2 linked regions of the Callithrix jacchus genome follow. The protein of the gene in region 2 purifies or fractionates together with the protein of the main gene of each other region. This does not show direct contact. Links are inferred from orthologs where the notes say so. Each region holds a gene or a part of one and is shown on either strand. Other genes may lie near its edges.

Region 1 (4,478 bases), on a different chromosome or scaffold from region 2:
GCCTCCTGGGTTCAAGCAATTCTCCTGTCTCAGCCTCCTGAGTAGCTGGGATTACAGGCATGCGCCACTGTGCCCAGCTAATTTTTGTATTTTTAGTAGAGACAAGGTTTCACCATGGTGGTCAGGCTGATCTCGAACTCCTGACCTCATGATCTTCCTGCCTCGGCCTCCCAAAGGCTGGGATTACAGGTGCGAGCCACTGCACCTGGTCTTTTCTCTCTCTCTCTTTTTTTTTTTTGAGACGGAGTCTCACTCTGTTGCCAGGCTGGAGTGCCGTGGTGTGATCTCAGTTCACTGTAACCGCTTCCCAGGTTCCAGTGATCCTCCTGCTTCAGCCTCCCAAATAGCTGGGACTACAGGCACACGCCACCACATGTAGCTAATTTTTTATATTTTTAGTAGAGATGGGGTTTCACCATGTTGGCCAGGCTGGTCTCAATCTCTTGACCTCGTGATCTACCCACCTTAGCCTCCCAAAGTGCTGGGATTACAGGCGTGAGCCACCGCACCCGGCCTCAGGAGGTGTAACTGTCAACCTCTGCCAGGAAGATATCCCCAGGTTGCCGGAGGTGGAATCGGTCCTCCCTCCTACATTCTTTAGGCATCTGATATTCCCTACCACAGTGGTTACCATGGGACATGTTAACAGACTATACTTGTGTTTCGTGACCATATTAGGGCAGACTTGGCTTATTTATGGTTCTATCACCAGCAGGACCTGCAGGTACCCAAAAGGTACTTCTGAACCCAGTGAGTGGTGCTTTGGAAGTCCCTGGGACATCCTGTTGGAAAAATCCTACAGAGAAAGTACTCAGGCTGTAGGGCAGGTGAGGAAGATCTAATGTACATATCCAGGCAGGTTTTCTGATCTCAGAGCAAAGTAGGGGCCAGCCAGGAAGCCAGGGCAGAAGCTGAGAGCACAAAGGCTGGCTGACATCTTCTTGAGGCACTGAGCCCCCAAGAGCACAGCCTTCACAGTGATACCCTGACAGCTTCCACTGGAGCCTCAGCAAAGCTTCCTCACTGAGCCAAAGGACTGAAGTAGTGAAAATCATTCAGGGAGAGGTGACACGGAAGCCCCCCGAAAACAGTGCCAGTGCTGCCCTGAAGCTAGAGAGAAGAGAACTCCATGGCTGTGATCTTGTCTAGCTGAGTCACCTTAGACAAGCTCCTTAATGCCCCTCCTGAAGGGGCAGGACCTGTGAGTGACCTAAAGCACTTCAGGAGAGCCTCAGCAAAAACAAATGGCTCCTCAACCATTTGTTTGAGGAGCAGCGCAGGGGACGGATCCCTCTCATCTGGGCTTTGTCTGAGCCCTTCTCAGAGGGTGCCACCCACTGAATAGTGTCAGCAAGAGCTCCCCGTCCCACCCCCATCCCAGGCTGAGTCACTCTGAGAAAAGGGCGGGGCGGGCCGGAAATGCTTTCTGCATCCCCAAATAACCTCTGGCAGCCTTAGGAGGTCATCAGGCTGGAACTGGAGCTGGAGCAGCTACTGGGGAGAGGCTGCTTTGGGTCTTGGAGTGGTCTGGTTCAAGACCCACCCTTCCTGCTCCAAGCTTTCCTTTCCTAAGGCCCCTGCTCAGGGCTGCCCTGGGTAAGGACCACAGCTCAGCAGCCCCAGATCCCTAGGCTTCCTACTGACTCCTTAAAGACTTTACCAGGCTCATCCTTCTTTCATGGAAAAACCACTGGAGCTAGGATACCCAGTCACCCTCTCTCCTCCTTACCCTGAGGCCAGGTAAGCTGAATAAGCTAAGCATTCTCACAGGTTCCCCATTGGGCCAAGGAAGGATGGGCCTTCTCTGGCCCAGGCATCCCTCCCAAACTCCTGCTGAGATGTGCACCAGCCTTTCTTAGGGGCCTCTTCACTCCCAGCCACTAGCCCCCTGGCTTGGCCTGAAGGGACAGGGATGAGGCTGTGACCTAAGGATCCCATTACCCACTGTGGGCAGCACTCTCAGATGTTGAGACACCCCTGCAGTGCTGGACAGAGATGGCCAGACATAATTAGGGTTCTCTGCTATCTAGTCCAGAACATGCCAACAAAAATCACATGTGGCTGGACAGGATCAGGGTCAGGTCTGTGCCACCTCAAGGTATCAGCTGCCCTCTCTGAAGTGTGAGCTGGTTTGCCTCCCCGAAGGGCAAGGTCAGAGGTGTGCTTCAGCGGGGTCTACCTTCTCTGCTGGCCCCACCCCAGCAAGCCCCAAATCTCTGGAGCAGGTGTGAGACTGGAGGCCTGGCTTATCCCAGCCAGGAGCTCCTTCTGCTTGTGCTGACCTCCAAGAATACTACAGCCAGTGCCAGACCTCAGCTCCTCCCCAAATACCACTGCTTTCCAAACCTCAGGGAGTTAGTATGTAGAGAGGGAAGGTCCCTTACCTCCAAACCAAAAATGTAAAAAAATCCCTAGCCCTCAGCTATACTGAGTCCCATGACACAGAGGAGCCAGGCTAAGAGGTAACAGTCACCCTAAAGAGAGGAGGGCTGAAGGGCCAGAGAACTGGATTCATGACCAAAAAGAAGGAGACAGGGAAGCCCCACAAGGCAGCATCAGGCTCCGATCACATATACCCATCACCTGACCCTGGCACTCAAGGAACCCAGGGGATTGTCGGAGGGTTCTGCCAATGGAGCCCCAGGCTAACACTGCGAGTGGCAGGAGGGTTTGTGACTTGCTCTAGATTGCATGGCCTAGAGAGACAACCTGCTTCCTTGCTCCGAGGGTAACACCCTTAGCCACCCTCACACAATGTTATTGATCTGGCATTTTGCGTAGTTACATATCCCACAAATCTGTCTCCCATAAAATCCACAAACCCATCTCCCAGCATTACACAGTGATCTTGTCTCGCTGAGTCACTTTAGACGAGTTCCTTAATGTCCCTGACCCTGCCTCCTCATCTAAAAAGCAAGGACGATAATAGCACCAGGTCTTGGTTTTGTTGTGTGGATGACACATGAGAACCCAGGCCCACTGCCTGCTGTGGCGCCTCGCACACAGTAAGGGCTGAGTACAGGCGGCTGTGACTCCCGCTGTCATTCCTGAGGGCCTCTCTGGCCCTCTGCCTCTGGGGAGATTCTCATTAGCTTGCTTTTTGAAGCCTCCTGAGCCAAGGCATTCAGTGCCCATCCTCCCTGCTCACCATGCTTCGCACCCACTTCCCATGGGGTGCTCACCACCATGTGGGGAAACAGCCAATTCTATGATGTTTTTTCTGTCTTCCCAGGTATGGCCCCTCTGCTGCCACAACCAGCTCACCTCGGCTGCCCTCCGGCGGGTGCCCTCCCCACTCTCAGCCTCCTCATGCTCCTTGGCGCCTTGGGTGAGGTTGGTGTAGCTGACAAGCTTGCCCAGAAGAGACGATACCTTTGGGCGGATGTCCAGTTCTTCCTGTAAACAGAGCCACAGGGCAAGATGGCATTGGGCCAAGCAGGCGCCAGTTGTGCGTAGCCAGCTGCCTGGTCCCTGGCCCTGTTCCAAGCCCTGAGGCAGGCCTGGGCCTGATCCCAGTTCTTCCCTGGGGAAACCCAAGCCATCCAACTGGGCAGGTGTGGGCACCACACCCCAGCACGTGGCACTCAAAGGCCCAGCCCAGTGGCTGCTTTTCTCTGCTTCACCTTGGCTGCAATCACTGCCAGCCCATTTGTGAAAACTACCTGCCTCAGGGGAGAGAGGGCAGGGCAGAACACGACTGGCAGGCGGGCAATGGCATACTTCATCCTGCCTGCTCTGCCTGGCGACCTCCCAGCTATGGATGCACCTCCAGGACTCACATCTACCCTCCCTACAAAAAAGCCACCCTAGTCACCTCAGGGACCCAAAGAGGGCAAAAGAGCAATGTCTGGGACAAGTGAAGTCTCTCTTGTCTGCCCAAACCCTCATCTCCCTGGAGGATCTTCCCCTGATCTCAGTCTTGCAAGTACCCACATCAATTGCAGAGATGGGATCCTGACCTTCCAGCCCATCCTCAGGTAGGGCTGGGCCAAGGCCTTCACTGCAGAACCTTGCTGCTTTCCCAGGTCAGGAGGCCTCCCAGGGCTCAGGCTCCCCAGCCCCACCAGGGTCTAGGTGATGATCCCTGCTCCTACAGCCTTCTCAGTGCTGTGCCTCCACCTTCCTCCTGCCCACATTTAGCCTTTCCCATTCTGTCAGCTCCCTTCTGACCTACCCACAGGGAATAGTTGCTTTGTCCTGAGAAGGACAGATGAGGGCCCTTGGGGGCATGTGGAAAATGAGGAGCCTCAGCTGGATGCTATGGCTCACAGTGGGAATTCCAGCCCTTTGAAAGGCCGAGGGAAGAGGATCACTAGAGGTCAGGAGTTCAAGAACAGCCTGGCCAAGACGGTGAAACCCTGTCTCTACTAAAAATACAAAAAGTAGCCAGGCATGGTGGTGGGCACCTGCAATCCCAGCTACTTGGGAGGCTGAGACAGGAGAATCAGAGCTTTGGGGGTGGAGGTTGCAATGAGCCG
Region 2 (4,478 bases):
TGTGTAGGTGTGTGTGTTTTGCCTGTAGGGCTGCATGGAGAAATGTGTGTGTTGTGAGTGGTGCATGTGGGCAGGTGTATGTGTATTTGTGTAAGCCTATGGGGGAATGTGAGTGTGGTGTGTGAATATGTGGCATCTTTCTGCGTGTGTTTGTGAAGTTTGCGGGGAATGTGTATATAGCGTGTGTCCTTGGTAAGGTGAGTCTGTGTACACGTGGGTTTTCTATGTGTGTGTGTGTGTGTGTGTGTGTCAGGGCAGGCATGGGTGGCAGGGGACAGGGGCAAGTGGCAGATGGGGTGCTGGCAGAGATGGAATGTTGGAGGTGACAAGGCAGAAGTATGAGGCACAGAGGACTCTGAACTGCTATGCTCTGAATGCTGGTCCCCGCACAAATTCCTATGCTGAAAGAGAATCTCCAATGTGACAGTATGAAGAGGTGGGGCTTCAAGAGGTGCTTAGGGTCAGGAGGGTAGAGCCCTCATGGTTGGGATGAGTGCCCTGATGAACGAGGCCTGAGGGAGCCTGTCTGCTCCTTCCACCTAGTGAGGGTACAGCAGGAAGGCGCCATCTAGGAAGAAATGGGCCCTCACCAGACACTGGATCTGCTTGCACCTTGACTGAGGATTTCCCAGCCTCCAGAACTGTGAGCAACACATTTCTGTTGTTTATATCCTACCCCACCTATAGCAATTTGTTACAGTAGCCTGAATGGACTAACCCGCTCTCCTCACAAATGCGAACTGCAGGAACTGGGTGGGCTCTGGGCTCATACCCTCCACTGCATGAGCTCTCTGAAGACAGGGTGAGTCTTATTCATGGCCTCACCCCAGAGCCCACAGGACACTATCCCCTTCCCTGAGCACCCGGGCTGAGTGACAGGGCTACAGGCAGTGAGGGCCCAAGTGGGAAGTTGCTGGTGGGCCCGGCAGGGTGTAGGACCCTTGTGGACAGGCTGCAGAGGGGGCTCTGCAGTGGGGCAGGCATTAGTGGGCAAGGGTACGAAGGGCCTGGGCCACCCTTCCTGAGCTCTCCTTCACGGCCTTGCCCTGGGCAGCTCCAATCTGCTTGTCTGGCTGTGAAAACAGTTACAGCCTCTGCTGGTGGCCAAAATGCCAGTTTGAAGGGTGCTCTAGGGCCAGGTATGGGTTTCTGTGAGTGGATATGCTCACATTTAGATCCAGAAGTCCGCACCACATGGAGACTCCTCTGAGCCACACAGTGTTCAAAATTGACCACACTTAAATGCCTGCTAAACCACTGCGTGGGTTCCAGAGCCCTCTGGGGGTGAAGGCATCAGTGCCTCCCTGACCTTGACTGCGGATGCAGATGCTACCTGCCCTATGGACCTCCTGGTGCTGCCCTCCATCTACATCCCATGACTTTAGGACCCCCAAATAGCAGCAGCCCAGCCCAGTCTCTCCTGCATGCCCCCAGGAAGTGGGAAGGACCGTGACAGCTTCAGCCCACACCAAGGGAGGCTGGGAACAGATGGGAGTGAGTGAAGCCCTGTTGAGGATACTCCAGTTAGGGTGGGGCACTAAGTCCTGGAGCTTCGGGGCTCCCCAGTGTCACATAGTATCCCTTCTACTCTGTCTCTTCTTGTCACTCTGCCAGCCCACCTTCCCCACGGCCACCAGCAGTGCCCACATGGGGCAAACCACCATTGCATCCAGAAGGCCAGTGCTGCATACACAGCTTGCCAAGGGTTCCCAGCAATGCTGGAGTGGCAAGGCAGGAAAGAAAGCCAGGCCAACCATGTTCCTCACCCAGCGTCCCCTCCCCACACCTCGAGCACCCTGCAGCCACAACTCTGCTGCTCCCCTGCTTGGCGTGCCTGCCCTCCTCACCACCTCTCCAAGTCCTTCTCATCCCCAACGGCAGATCTTAACCTTTTCGTGAGCTAAGGACCCCTCTGGCAGTCTGGTGAAGCCTATGGACTCCTTTGAAGTGTGTGAAATCAATCATATAGAATGATAAAGGAAATACTGAGTACTGAAATAAACTGCATTGATATTCATGCTTCCTTATGAACATAATAACTCCTGTGACAGGGAACAGTGATGCATGCAAACTTCAAGATACCTGCAACACCATGAGGTGACAGGCAAGCATCTGTGAATTCTGCTGGTGGTAAAGCCATGGGCACTGCTAAGAAGACTGAGTCACTGCCTACACTCATCATTGAAGGACCAATCAGGCGTCCTTCAGTGCTATGGACGAGTCAGTAGTTACTGAAGATAAAGGTGCAACTTTTTCCAGCCCTGTCTGCTGACCTGCTGAATTCCATCCATGGACTACTCAGGGGGCCTCATGCTGCAAGGTCAGCCCTAACTCCACAGCCCTAACTCTTGTGAGCTCCAACCACACCATGGTGGGTTCTTCTCTCCACGCCTGAGTTGCCCTCCATAGCCCTTAGCACTTGCGAAGTGCAAGGCATGAACCCCAAATGCTGATTGGATTGAATTTTCCTACACCCACCATCTGAAGTGAGGTGAGACGTTAGGGGACCACTGCTTCCCTCAGCCGCCTGGAAGCTGGTGGCTGGACACCCTTAGGGCCTGCTACATGGGCCATGACTGGCCGCTGCTACAGTGGCTGGTGACTTACGTTCTCCACACGCTGTGCCTGGAGTGCTCCTTCCCTCTCTTGGGCTTTACCAGCTCCAGAAATTAGCTCGCCCTGCACTGGACGCACCTATGGGTGTTCTGGTTGGCTGCCCCAACCCCATCACCAGCCCCTCAGGGCAAGGCAGGTCTGAGCCTGCGGCTGACCACAGGGCCACGCCATGCCGGGCCCGGTACCAGGTGTGTCCTCACCTGCTTCACGTTGTAGCCGGTCTTTGCACTGGTTTCAATGAACATGACACTCAGTTCTTTGGCGCGCTGCTCCCCTTCCTCGATGGTTATCTGCCTAGAGATGAGGGGAAGGAGGGAAATCAGCTCCGTAGAGGAGCAGCCCCTGGCAGAGATGAGGAGGGACCCGTCCAGCAGGGCAGAGGGAGCCCACTGGGCCCCTGGTCAGCCCAGAAGACAGGCTCTGATCCCAGGGGCCTCTGCCGGGTGCCAACCACAGTCTCTTAGCACAAAGCGGCACCAGGGAACAGCAGAACACTATCCCCTCCCCCCACTCCTTCCTTTGTGTCTTCTCAGCTTCAATTAGGCCATGGGGCAGGCCTAGGGTAGGACTGCCCCGTACCTGCCTTTCCCAACAGTCACTACTGCAGAGCCTGTGTTTGTGAAGAGATTCAAGCCAGGCAGTGCCACTCTGGGTGGTATTATTAGTCACATTTTCCCTATGAGAACGCTAAGGTTAAAAGTGTCTCCCCCAAGGCCACAAAGCTGAGGGGCTCCACAATGCAGCAGGCAGAAGTGGGTGAGGGTATGAAAGGCTTGGGTACCCTTTGCACTGGGATTTGAGCCCAGTTTTCCTTCCTTCAAGGACAGAACTCTAGTAAAACAGGCTCTAATTCAGATGATCCCTCAGGTGGTCAAGGGACGCTGCGAGAGCCCTGCACTGCTAGCTGGAGTCCACAGCCTATCACTTTGTCTGCCCAAGTCAGGGTCACGTGAGATGAGTGGACAATGTACATACATGGCACCTCAGTCCTCCCTGTTCATGGAGGGCAGTGTGGAAAAGCCACTTTAGAGAGCCTCACGCCATATGCAGCCACAAACCAGGCTGAGCAGGCTCCGGCTATAGGTTTGTGGTCCAGATGCTCTGCATGCACACACCTAGGGCCCGGGGCATTCGCGCCCCCATGCGCACTGGTGTGGACGGTACACAGGCACAGACAGTTTGCAGTGCACACACTGGGGCCCAGGGGACTGCTGTGTCTGGGGCAGTGCTGTGGCCTTACACCGTGCACTGCTGGGCCAAGCCAGGTGCACACATCTGTGTGCAGACAGCACACAGAGGAGTGCCTGGCCCCTGCCTGGCGGTGGAAGGCAGGCCTTCACAGATGAGACACCCATGGGTGAGAGTCTACCAGGTGTTCTCAAAGCTCCTCGTGTCTCAAGGAACCTTCCCCAGATGCATGGCCAGGATAGACACACCACCCATGCACGCCAGAGCTCCCTGTGCAGGAGCAGTTAGAGAGGAGTGGAGGGTAAGCACCCTGCACCTGTGTGCCTTAGCGCCTACCTCTTATCAGCCAGGTCTGTCTTGTTGCCCACCAGCATGATGATAACATCACTGCCCCTCTCTGTCCTGACGTCGTCAATCCACTTAGAGGTCTGTTGGAAGGAGTTGAGATCTGGAGGCAGAAAGTGGGGATAAACTGAAAGGCAGGGCCGACCACCAGCAGGAGAGGGGAAGGGGAGGTGTGAGCCAGGAGCAGGAGGGAGGGTGAGCGCATGCCCTCAGATACCCAGGGAGGGGTGTGAGCTCAGTCAACAGATTAGCCAGGTTGGGACTTTCAGAGGGAACCACGCCCCACCCAGCCCTGGGGAGCCGCTTGCACTGCTCAGCCACCCTCTGTG

What was found. The genes of interacting proteins can lie anywhere in the genome.
Region 1: the proteins of RAB6B (region 2) and SLC12A4 purify together in Homo sapiens (co-immunoprecipitation; 3 studies listed by BioGRID and IntAct, with this or other methods). This does not show direct contact. The link is inferred for Callithrix jacchus from reciprocal best matches to the Homo sapiens genes RAB6B and SLC12A4.

Annotation. Positions count from the first base shown.
Region 1 is NC_133521.1:25,492,412-25,496,889, forward strand, and holds part of SLC12A4 (solute carrier family 12 member 4), read right to left. Parts: intron 3,397-4,478; coding exon 3,265-3,396; intron 1-3,264. UniProt on the Homo sapiens protein: Mediates electroneutral potassium-chloride cotransport when activated by cell swelling. May contribute to cell volume homeostasis in single cells. May be involved in the regulation of basolateral Cl(-) exit in NaCl absorbing epithelia.
Region 2 is NC_133518.1:50,350,961-50,355,438, reverse strand, and holds part of RAB6B (ras-related protein Rab-6B), read right to left. Parts: intron 4,253-4,478; coding exon 4,141-4,252; intron 2,911-4,140; coding exon 2,817-2,910; intron 1-2,816. UniProt on the Homo sapiens protein: The small GTPases Rab are key regulators of intracellular membrane trafficking, from the formation of transport vesicles to their fusion with membranes. Rabs cycle between active GTP-bound and inactive GDP-bound states.